Linked DNA regions of Drosophila melanogaster. The gene in region 1 interacts genetically with each later gene. Each region holds a gene or a part of one and is shown on either strand. Other genes may lie near its edges.

Region 1 (5,150 bases):
CTTTGAGAGTGACGCCTACGCCCTTGGATGTCAATGCTCCTATTAGCTCACAGGGACTGCTGGTAAAGCCACCCAATGCCTCTGTGGGAAACTGATCCACGAATATGCGTTCCATGGACAGCTCCTCAAAGTCCTCGAACAATCGAACCGAGTAGACGGGCCTCCCACCCGCACTGAAACTGGCGGACTTGCGGGGAATCGGCAAACTGGAGTTCACAAGGATAACGTCAAAGACATAGTACTGCGTCATGTTGATCTTCTAGGGAAACTATCGCTAAAACCAAGTTAAAATTTTCTTTACTCTCTAAAGATTTGGCTAAAAACTTATTTAATTTGTTCTGATATAAAACTCCAGTCTGAATAAAATCGATGTGTTCAGGATCAGAAATGACAATAAAAAGCTCAAAAACGGAGAACTAGAGCTTGTCAAATCGATAATGTATCTAAGGCCACTTGGGTTCAAGAATTCTCAGCCTGTTCATGTTTTGAGAAAAACTGAATAATATTTTGTTGATTTACTAACCATAAATTACTTACTAAGCTAAATAACTTATCAGCTACAAAGAAATTGCCTTGTTTAGCTCCATATTTGCCAAACTTTGTGCACAATCTTCGAACACTTCGATTAGAAATGAACTCTGAGTATAAGTATAAAGTATAATAAGTACAAACTGTTTTCCTTTCTTATCTCAAGTTAAGCTATCTTATGATGCATTGCTTCTTCTTGAAGGCTTTTATGCAAGATATTGTCAAAAACATGATGCAAATGATTTGATTCACTTGTTAGGTAAGTGAATACAATGATTGCCTCGATTACTCAGTTGGAACTCATATTCCAAATATTTGCCATTTCGCATGCTTATCAGAAATTAAGTAATAACTTGTTCGGTTTAAGGTCCGCAGAGGTGACACATATATGTACATATGTGCACACAACTTTGGACACCTTGTCGTTCAACCAATCGCTCTAAAAATAGCTGAAATAGTCTTGCAAAAAATAAGACACCTGTTTGGTTTGGTATATAAGTAAATGAGTAGCGCATAATTATTGCCTGAATAATTTAAGATTTACACAATGGACTACTATACGTTCAACAACAAGGATGTGAGTAGCATTCTCGCAAGGTAACTATGAATTTGGAACTGCACTTGGTGGTGACAACAACTAGGTGTGTGCGTAATGCATTCGCGCGCAGGAGTATGGAGTCCTGCCCTCCAGTGCCTCCTTCGCGGGCAGTTCGCTGGCCGAAAGCGATCTGATGCTTGAGATCGCGTTGCTTACTGCCGGGCGTTGATGATGTCCACGAACTCGGGCTTCAGGGAGGCGCCTCCGACCAGGAAGCCATCTATGTCGGGCTTCTTGGCCAGCTCCTTGGCGTTGGCGGCGGTCACGGATCCACCGTACTGGATGCGCAGGCTGGCGGACACCTCCTTGGAGATGTTGTCGCTCAGCCACTGGCGCAGGAAGGCGTGGACCTCTTGAGCCTGCAATTGGGAAGGGAAAATATCAGTTCTGGAAGAGATTAGCCTCTGCGGGCGACCTTACCTGATCGGGTGTGGCGGTCTGGCCGGTGCCAATGGCCCAGACGGGCTCGTAGGCCACCACCACGTTCTTCCAGTCCTTGATCTTCTGGGCGTAGGCGCACATTTGGCGGGCCACCACCTCGTTGGTCTTGCCGGCCTCGCGCTCCTCCAGGGTCTCACCAATGCAGGCGATGACCTTGAGGCCCTCGGCCAGGGCGTGCTCGGCCTTCTCGGCGATCAGGGCGTCCGATTCGCCGAAGATGGCGCGACGCTCCGAGTGTCCCAGGATCACCCAGTCGGCGCCGATGTCCTTCAGCATCGCAGGGGAGATCTCGCCGGTGAATGCGCCCTTGGCCACCTTGTAGGCATTCTGGCCGGCCAGACCCAGCTCGCAGGGCAGCAGGTTGCGGGCGTACATCAGGTAGATGGCCGGGCAGCCGATGACCACCTCCGTGTTGGGGTCGAGGGCGGCCGAGCTCAGGGTCTTGGCGATCTCGGCGATGGACTTCTGGTCGCCGTTCATCTTCCAGTTGCCTCCCACGCAGAACTTTCGGCTCATGTTGTTGCTGTTGCTGTCGGTGCAATCGGTGCTGAAATTGGCGTAGAACTGCGGATCGGGGGACAAAACAAGGGGACTGCTATTAGAGTGTTTGGAACTGATAATTTCAAGTGGGTAACTCGATGACTGGAGGCTCGCCGTCGACTTTTCCACTCAGATTTTTCCCAGATTCGAGATTAATCCCGGCACAGAGCACACACCCACCTCGAAGTTCGTCTGCTTATGTACTAACCTTCTTTTGACCTTCGTAAGTCTTCCACTGGCACTTGAAAAGCTTTGGGAAAACAGCTGTGAATTTGCCCAGCAGAGCTTCCGAAACGACGGCTTTTAGTACCTCCGCCGTAACACCACCCACAGTGGGTCGGTTCTGGTCCATGGTGGGGATGGTGTGGTGGTTCCGATGATACGGGAATCGCTGGAGAAGCGTTACTGATGCAATGCACTGGATACCGTTCCTGTTCAGATCATTGAGTACTCCAGGCGGCATTTCTATTGTGGTTACAATAGTAAGTAAGGAGTAGTAAAAGTTATTCTGAAATTATATAAACGGCTTGTTGGGGTTTTAAAAATGTTGCCGGTTTTAGATTTAGCAGTGACTCCAACCATCTGATGGGGAACTTTGAGCAAGTGAGCTCCAATAGTTTTGGCGTCGCTTCCAAAAAGCTCTGGAAAAGCTTTTATCAACAGGCTTGCCAAAATCCGCTATACTAGCATATGTAAAAGAAAAACTTGTATACCCTACCAATAGGCATACATCGCATCAGGACTTATTTAACCAACAAAAATAAAACACAACATGAATGTACATTCTGGTTTAATCGCTTTATTTAACTTCAACTTTGAAATTCATGTCGCATGGCTTAACTTGGTTTTCACAGACGTTCAGGTATACATAAGCTGACATATACACAGTAAATACTCTAACAACATTAAACATATGTATGTACATAATTAACTAGTCCGTAGAAACGTATTATGACCATACACTCAAAATAAATGCGCATAGCTCCTAATCTCTATATTTCACTACCGAACTAATTGATTTAGATCCGATATAGAATTTGACAACGTTTCCGAAAGAGAGCCTAAGAGAGCTGGAAAGTACTTAACGTAAAAGCTTTGACTTGCGAGTATTTCCTCAGGGGTCACCCCTTACCCCTTTCGCATCCTTGTGATCCTCTTCCAGTGGACTTTCCTGCTGATCCCGCTTCTTTTCCGACCGCGAAGGTCAACTCTCCGCGCTGGTCGCCAGAAGGGACGGCGAGGAGGTGGTCAGACCCACTGGAACCGATTCCTCCTGAGCCTGGCCCATGGGCGGTGGTGATGGAGTGGGCGTGGAGGCCGTGGACGACGCCGTCGATGAGGTGGGACGGGCGGCGTGAGGCTGGAGGAAGTGAAACAAGTTGGAATGCTGCATGAAACTGCCCACCGATCTCAGCGGACTAAAAAAGTTCTCTGTGGGATGGTTGGCTGGCTGCGGATGCTGTGGAAGTACAGAGGACTCCTGATCCCTGCAGAGATTACTGCTGGGCTCGTCGTGGACCCCTCGTCCCTTAGCGATGGAGCTACAGTTGCAGGATCGGCTCTTCTTCAGCGAACTCCGAGTGAATGCCGTGCCCTTTCGATACTTAGGCTTGTGCCCATTTGAGCCGGGACTCGCCTCACTATCGATCACAAAGATACCGGATTGCTCCTGGGGAGCAGGACTCGCCGTGGATCCTGGCAGGCAGTGAGCGCTATTGGAGTTGCCAGCAAGCAGTTTGGCCCTCAGAAGAGCCGGAAGTGGGCCATTTGTGGGAGATGTTTGAGTGGAGAGCGGTCTCTCCCTGGACTGTTCATCTATGGGAAGATCCTGATTGTTGCCCATTGGCCTGGAGTCCGTGTCATCCGATCGCAATTTCTCCCTCATGACCAAAGCCAGGGAGCGACGCAGTTCCACGGGATCTATGCCAGGCTGAACGGGATTTGGAACAGAGCTGGCCGGCACGAATACGTCCTCAAACTCCAGATCATCATCATCTTCGTCCTCATCCTGGCTGAAACTGTAGTTGTGGTTGTCATAGGAGGCGGACGGAACTGAGGGCTTCGCAGGAGCAGGAGGAGCTGGTGGGACTGTGGAACTGCTATTTCGTTCACTGCTGCGCTGGGAACCCGGAGCGGGGGAAGGGAACTCGTAGCTGGTTTCACCCAGCTCGGCGCCACTGGAGGCCTCCACTATGTTCCACATTTCTCGCTCGAGATCTGTGGTCACCGAAGCCACGGCGGCCACCGTTTGGTTGATGTTGTTGAAACAGGGCGACACCACTCCGCACTTGGGCAGGAGCTGGGAGTTCTTCAGGGCCTCCTGCTGCTGCCTCAACCAAATGGGTGAATCTGCAGGGAATGTTACGAGAGTTATAGGGATTTTGCCACAGTTCCAAGGAGACAACGCGCACTCACACTCACCCACATAGAGGCGCGGCTGCGTGGAGCGCATATTGGAGTCCATGGACTGCAGGCGATGCTGACTGGCCACCGAGAAGCGGTGGATTGCCTCCGCCTGCTGATCAATGTCCACGCCCATCATCTTCAGGAGTAAGTTCTTCAGCGCGGCCCTGAAGTCCTTGAGGTGATAGGCATACAGGACCGGATTTACCGCCGAGTTCAGATGGGACAGAATGATGCAGAAGAGCGTCAGCTTGGGATGCACATAGCAGTCGGGACAGAAGGCCTTGATGCAGTTGATCGTATAGAGCGGTATCCAGCAGATCATAAAGAACAGCACGATAATGGACAGATTCTGGGTGGCCTTGACGTCCCGCTTCCTTGCGGCGCCCAAGACCCGCAGCATGGTTCCCGTGTGTCCACCTCTTCCGGGTGTCGTCACCTGCACCACGGCCGCCGAGGAGCGACGACTGAGATCGGAGGCGGGGTTCATCGTAACAATCTGACGGACCTTTAAAGTTCAATTGAAAACGGATAGTTAATATTCCAAACTCTATGGAATATATAAAAAACTTTACTGGCGAAAATCTATCTACCACTCACCTGTTTGATGATGACCCGGTAGATGTGCGTGTAGAAGGCC
Region 2 (7,484 bases), on another chromosome or scaffold:
CAGGTGCATCTGGAGGAAGATAATAGACCTTTCCGGAACCTTCACTTGCTACTACTAACACCTTCCCTAGCTTAATAGTCCCCGGCAACATGTGCAACCAGAGGATGACCCCAAACAACTTGGCTTTATTATCGTTTCTGCAATATCAACTCCTATAAAACACATACAAAATTTAAGTCCATTTAAAGCATTTTGCATTAATTGATTTAACTGTAAGCTCTGCAATGTGCATTCCTGCAATTCTCTCCTAAGCAACTGAATAATGATCCCCGATCATTTATAGGCGATAAATGCATTTTTAAGATGCTTCTCGGCGCAGTTTTAAATAGTGCAAAGTGTTAAAGCGTTGTTTTCTAATGCAAAGACGAGTAGAGAAGAAACTATGAGTACATAACAATGATGAATATATGATAATTTTTTACCTAATCATATTTTGTTTTAATACTTTTATTTACATGTTGTGGTGACTTCGGGGGGAATGTGTTTAGAAAACCGTTAAATAATACTCAACAGGAAAATAAAAATACATTTTTGAATCGTACTATTCATGTCCAATCTGTAAGTTACATGGAATGTAAAAATGTAGTTTTATCTTCGTTTCGTGAGTGAGAACTCACGAGATATGCTCATCCCTATATGTGCGCATCCCTGGTTTTCTCCACGAATCAGCTGATAGACGCCAGTAGACCTCGCAAAATTAAACACTAGTTGCTATTAAAATGCATTTAAAAACACAAAATATTTAAAATAATTGCCAAGAAGCTAATGCGCCGCTTGTTTACATCGGTCAACGCCCAAATAATGTCGAAGAGCAAGGGGAAATCAAAGGCCGGCGTTGAAAGTGCGAAAAACGATGCAAAAGCGATGCCGGCTAAGGAAGCCAGTCCGATTTCAGTCGATAAGAGCGGCAATATATGCATACAAATCCTTGCCAAGCCGGGGGCTAAGCAGAACGGAATCACAGGAATTGGCTTTGAAGGAGTGGGCGTCCAAATCGCCGCTCCGCCCAGCGAGGGAGAAGCTAACGCCGAACTGGTCAAGTTTCTGTCGAAAGTTCTAGGTCTTCGAAAGAGCGACGTTTCTTTGGACAAGGGATCTCGATCGCGAAACAAGATAATAATGATAACCAAGGGAGTGTCCACGGTGGAGGCCATTGAGCAGCTGCTGCGCAAAGAATCCGATTCATAGATTGTTTATTCCCCCCAATAAATACTCGCTCAGAAGTTAGATTTTTAAAACACATTTGCTTGTTGTTTATTTGGTTTTATGTTTATCATCGATCGGGTCATCAAACCTTAATTATATATATACTCGATTCTTTATATAGCTCTACCAACTAGGGCGCGTATGTAGTCTTTAGTTTTTTACATAAATTACTTGGATTCTAAATTATAAGTTCTTAAAACGACAACTGCTCTTGAATGTTCTGTGAGAACCTAACCATTTAACGAGTTATTCCTGCTTTTTTATGAGTTAAGCGTATGTCTGTCGCTTATAACGCGGCAAAATGTTAATGAATACAAAATTTAACTCGGCCGTAGTAAACTCAGTATAAAAGTTCGAAACGCAAGTAAATTGTGTATGTGAATGCGAGTGATAGAATGAATTTTGGTTGTTTGTTTCGACTGGTCGCTTAATCGACCTCCTCCATGTGGGAAGCGTCCTCTGTGTCCTCAACCAGCGAGGGGGCATCTCCGGCGCTCTGGGCATCGTCGGTAGTCATAGGCTCGTCCTCGTCGATTCCCAAGCCCAGCTTGATCATGCGGTAGATGCGGCTGGCGTGCACCTGGGGGCTGTCCAGCGAGAATCCAGAGGACAGCAGAGAGGTCTCGAACAGCAGGATGACCAGATCCTTGACGGCCTTATCGTTCTTGTCGGCATCGGCCTTCTGGCGGAGAGTCTCCACAATTGGGTGATCGGGGTTGATCTCCAGCTGCTTCTTGCCGGCCATGTAGCCCATTGTGGCGGTATCACGCAGAGCCTGGGCCTTCATGATGCGCTCCATGTTAGCGGACCAGCCGAACTGCGAAGTGACAATGCAGCAGGGCGAATCCACCAGGCGGTTGGACACCACCACCTTCTCGACCTTGTTGTCCAGGATGGACTTCATCAGCTTGCACAGGCTCTCGAACTTGGCCTTGTCCTCCTCGCGCTTCTTCTTCTCGCTCTCATCCTCAGGCAGCTCCAGACCCTCCTTGGTGACAGAGACCAGCTGCTTGCCCTTGTACTCCTTCAAGTGCTGGATGACATACTCATCGATGGGCTCGGTCATGTAGACCACCTCGAAGCCACGGGCCTTGACGCGCTCCACGAAGGCAGAGTTGCTGACCTGGTCCTTGGACTCGCCAGTGATGAAGTACACGTGCTTCTGGTTATCCTTCATGCGCGACACGTAGTCGGCCAGGGAGCAGAAATCGTCGCCGGAGGCAGAGGTGTGGAAGCGAAGGAAGTCGGCCAACTTGGCACGGTTGTTGCTGTCCTCGTGCACACCCAGCTTCAGGTTCTTGCTGAACTGGTCATAGAACTTCTTGTAGTTCTCCTTGTCCTCGGTGAGCTCCTCAATCAGCTCCATGGTCTTCTTGACCAGGTTCTTGCGGATCACCTTTAGGACCTTGTTCTGCTGCAGCATCTCACGTGAGATGTTGAGGGGCAGATCCTCGGAGTCGACCACACCCTTCATGAAGTTCAAGTACTCTGGAATGAGGTCCTCGCAGTTGTCCATGATGAAGACACGACGCACGTACAGCTTGATGTTGTTGCGCTTCTTCTGGTTCTCGAAGAGATCGAAGGGCGTGCGACGGGGAATGAAGAGCAGAGCACGGAACTCCAGCTGACCCTCCACGGAGAAGTGCTTGACGGCCAGATGATCCTCCCAGTCGTTGGTCAGGGATTTGTAGAACTCGCCGTACTCCTCCTGGGAGATATCATCGGGATTGCGGGTCCAGATGGGCTTGGTCTTGTTCAGCTCCTCATCCTCAGTGTACTTCTCCTTGATGGTCTTCTTCTTCTTGGCATCCTTGTCCTTCTTGTCGGCATCCTCATCCTCGCCAACATCCTCGATTTTGGGCTCATCAGTCTCCATCTCCTTCTTCTCATCACCTTCCTTCTTCTCATCATCAGCCTCATCGTCGCTGACCTCCTTCTCGCGCTCCTTCTCTACGAGCAGCTTGATGGGGTAGCCAATGAACTGGGAGTGCTTGTTAACAATCTCCTTGATCTTGCTCTCCTCCAGATAGTCGGTCTGGTCCTCCTTGATGTACAGCACGATCTTGGTGCCACGGCCCAGGGGCTCAGAGTTGTCGGCACGGACTGTGAAAGAGCCTCCGGCAGAGGACTCCCACACGTACTGCTCGTCATCGTTGTTCTTGGAGGTGACAGTCACCTTGTCGGCGACCAGGTAGGCGGAGTAGAAACCCACACCGAACTGACCGATCATGGAAATGTCGGCACCAGCCTGCAGAGCCTCCATGAAGGCCTTGGTTCCGGACTTGGCAATGGTTCCCAAGTTGTTGACCAGGTCGGACTTGGTCATACCGATACCGGTATCAATGATGGTCAGAGTACCAGCCGTCTTGTTAGGGATCAGCTTGATGTACAGCTCCTTGCCAGAGTCCAGCTTGCTGGGGTCAGTAAGGGACTCATAGCGGATCTTGTCCAGGGCATCGGAAGCGTTCGAGATCAACTCGCGCAGGAAAATCTCCTTGTTCGAGTAGAATGTGTTGATGATCAGGGACATCAGCTGAGCAATCTCAGCCTGGAATGCAAAGGTCTCTGCTTCTTCTGGCATCTGCAATGGATTTACAAAATCATTAGGATTAGTTATAGTCTGTGGGTTCAACACTAAGGAAAAGCAGCTGCATTTTCAGCAGCTGCTCCGGTTTTATTCTTTTTCTTTCTTTCTCTTTTGCACATGCCTCATTTAACATGCGCATATACAAGTACAGTGGTGGTCAAAATTATAGCATTCACTTTGCAACCCGTAAAATGGAATTTTAATTTCAATTAGCCAACAGAATTGATTTTAAGTTGCAAAATAATGTTTTAAATTTAAATATTTAAATATAATTATGCAAATTGGGTCGGTTGATAATTTTTCTACCCCTGCTGTGTGCAAACTCGTGTCTGTGTGAGTGAGCATTGCATTGAAAATTCGTACTTCACCAAGGAAGTTTGTGGAAGCATCTAGAAGCCAAAGGAAAACTAATTCGCCTAGCAAGTTGCTAGTAGCAACCAACCAATTAAAATAGAGCAAATAGGATTAAAAAACCGATTTAACAGAATTTGCTTACTGACGCCACATTTTTACTTGAAAGTATTAGTCATGGGCGTGCATGTGTGCGTATGCGGCATGTGCAATTTAAAATGGGAATGCAAAGAAAGCACGTGTAATTGTAAATGAAGGACAGTAATTTATAATTAAAAAGCCTATTTGGCACGCTGTTTAATTCATGCTAAAGCATAGAAACCTCTAGAACATTCTCGAGCGGCAAATGTGATTTGCGCATTGTCACCCCCTAAAAAGAGCGGCATAATTCGATTTAGCGCTAAAAGACCATTGCATTAAACAAAAATTAATCTTGTATTCTATAAACCACATGTAATTGTAAATAAAGGACAGTAATATATAATTAAAAGGCCTATTTGGCACGATGTTTAATTCATGCTAAAGCATAGAAACCTCTGGAAGATGCGTCCAAGCGACAAAAAATAAAAGAAACCGGCATTTTGAGTTAATTTGCACGTTGCCACCTCTTAATTAATCAAAAAAAATTCTTAAACTTGGCTCCTAGAAATTTAAAATCAATATCTCACATTTGGGTCAAGAACATTCGAGATGCACAGGACCACGCAAAATGCACATTTTGGCCATAGCCACTGATAAACTATTCACTCTTTTCTTGTAATTTGCATTACTCACCTTGTATGTATGTTTTTCGTTCTATTCACAGAATAAAGGTAAAAATACAGATATTTTCACTTTGCTTTGTATAGAATTGGAAATTCACAAAACTTTTCAGACGCTGCTTGTTGTTACGACGCACACCGTACGAAATTTTTTTCAAGACTCGAACCGGCAAACGCCGCGCGTCTGCTTTTATAGAAAAACCCGACCCGAACTGGAAGTCTCTAGAAACTTCTAGAGGCTTCTGGATGCCAGGGATGCAACTTCCTGTGAATACTAGGGTAGATCAGTGTTGTGATACGGTCGAAAAGTGCGCAACCTGTGCGGGCGAATTCAAAAATTATACTGAACTAAGTTTGGTGGAAATTCGTCTAAGTGGTCCGAACGATTGAGCAAAGCCCACTGGGATTGCTTAAAACATTACAATTGGATATCAAAACGCCCACTAGGCTTATACTGTAATTAGGAAAATGGAAAATTTAATTGTTCCCAATATTATTTTACTTGTTTTAACAGTAAATAATAAACAAATCAGCTTATGACCTGTTAATTTTTATTTATATTTATGAATACTTTTCTCCACCAGACTATCGATATTTCCAGAGTTTCAGAGACTTGGTGGTGCAAGCTGGTTCCTCTGGAATAAACTAGTTCCATTTTAAGCGGACGGTAAAATTTGAAATCACTTGAGTGGGTTTGGGGAACAAAAATTGGAAAGTTTTTGTTGTAATTAGCTAAAAAGCAGACATTTCACATTCCGGAAAATAATTGCTTCTGTGCAAAACCTGCTACAAGCCCAGTCAAGTAAAAAATCTCTCATTAATTAAGAAGTGTCATATCGATCATTTGGTTTCGGTCAATTCTGTTATCGATGCCTCCCATCGATATCACCAGCTGACGCTAACACTTCCACCACTAATAACATAAAAGTTGTTTGCTTATATTTAAACAAATGGGCGGCACTAAGTGTTGTTTTCGTGATTGTCCGGTGGGTTCTAGCCGCAACCCCAATATGCACTTCTTCAAGTTCCCCGTTAAGGATCCGAAGAGGTTGAAAGATTGGGTCAGGAATTGTTCAAACCCTGACGTTTCAAATGCACCGCCGTCCAAACTGGCAGCCAAAACAGTTTGTGCCCGGCACTTTCGAGCGGAATGCTTCATGAACTACAAAATGGACAGACTCATCCCAATGCAGACGCCCACTTTGTTCAGGATCAACAGGGATCTGGCACTAGACTATGAAAATCTCGACCAGAACGGTGAAGCTCTTCTCGTGAAGTTGACGCCTCCAAAGCAGCAACACCTAATACCACCTAAAGATTTCGAGTGTCCTCTGGGATTCGTGGATGGTGAGACACAGAATTTGGATGTTGTTAAGAAACGAAATACAGTAGAGTTGACAGAAGAGGAGGAACCGCAAGGGAAAGACGAAGCCGACGAAGTGCTGGCTACGGAGCAGGAACAGCCGGTTGTACACACGGAGAAAACAACGGTGGCGCATAAGAGTTCTACAACATCAACAAGCGCTTCGGCTATGCCTCAAAACATTCTAGATATCATAAGTCAACTTCAGCCTTCATTGGGCATCAAATTGATTAAAAGACCAGTAAAGCGTCAATCAGGAAGCGAGAATGAGTTGTTTCAGCTTGAAGAGCAGCTCCCAAAAGAACAAACTGATGATACAAGCAAGATGCGAACAGTCACCAAGGAATCAGAAAAGCAAATTAAATCAAAAAGTTGTATTATTGACGTTATGAAAATGCCAAAGCTTGCCGATAAATGTCAAGAAAAGCAAGTGCCAACTAGAAAAGAGTACCGACCAATTAAAGGGACTGTGGTTAGAAAACGTGGGATGCAGGAGGCAGATGCTGATAGACTGAACGAAGATGAATCCACCAAGGAGCAGGCTAAGAAAAGGAAGCTACCCCAAGAAGCACAAAAGACTGACTCCCACGCTTCACCTGAGAACGGTACGATATTGAACCGATATACACAATTGCAAGAGAAATTCTGGGATGAGCAGAAGACTCCGATGTTGGAGAAACCCACCCAATCCATCCAAATTAATCTTAGTTCTAGCAAAGAAAATAGTCAGAGTGATTCCATTTCCGAAACCTTATCTGAATCTTTTCTAAACCTTGAAGAGAACATACCACTTAGTACTGACAGTGAGGACGAGTCTGAACCAGATGAAAAACCATCTTCATCGGAAGATGCCCATCGCGATAAGCTTCTTCAGGAGTACGATAAACTGCAGGCCGAGTTTGAAAAGCTGTCTGAGGAGAATGCCAAACTAAAACGACTGCAAGCGGAGTCCCCGTGGACTTCAGCTGCAATCAAACCCACTGCTCTTTCTCTAAGCAAACCCCAGCTATACATGGCAATAAAGAAATACGTGGGGCCCACGATGGCCGCATTGCTGCGCATGGAAATGTTCGGCGGCTCTGAGGAACGCACTTGGAAGGATGACGAGCGAGAGTTTGCCACCGAACTACTTCAACTGGGCGACGAGGTGTACAAGTACTGTTGCGACGAGTGGCGCTTCCGCCTGCCCTCGATGCGGATTGCACGCTCCTGGCTG

Evidence for each region. Genes that interact genetically often act in the same process or in processes that back each other up.
Region 2: of Tpi (region 1) and Hsp83, changing one suppresses a phenotype caused by changing the other (phenotypic suppression), as found in Drosophila melanogaster (one study listed by BioGRID).

Annotation. Positions count from the first base shown.
Region 1 is NT_033777.3:30,131,964-30,137,113, forward strand, and holds Tpi (triose phosphate isomerase), read right to left. Parts: upstream 2,637-5,150; 5' UTR 2,571-2,636; coding exon 2,316-2,570; exon of another isoform or gene 2,132-2,315; coding exon 1,547-2,131; intron 1,486-1,546; coding exon 1,279-1,485; 3' UTR 1,018-1,278; downstream 1-1,017. Other genes in the region: CG31029 (uncharacterized protein), read right to left, coding at 1-250; AdoR (adenosine receptor), read right to left, coding at 3,312-4,456, 4,523-5,018, 5,111-5,150.
Region 2 is NT_037436.4:3,190,802-3,198,285, reverse strand, and holds Hsp83 (heat shock protein 83), read right to left. Parts: upstream 5,318-7,484; 5' UTR 4,919-5,317; intron 3,788-4,918; coding exon 1,634-3,787; 3' UTR 1,227-1,633; downstream 1-1,226. Other genes in the region: CG14966 (uncharacterized protein), read left to right, coding at 766-1,188; CG14965 (uncharacterized protein), read left to right, coding at 5,856-7,484. UniProt on the Drosophila melanogaster protein: Molecular chaperone that promotes the maturation, structural maintenance and proper regulation of specific target proteins involved for instance in cell cycle control and signal transduction. Undergoes a functional cycle that is linked to its ATPase activity.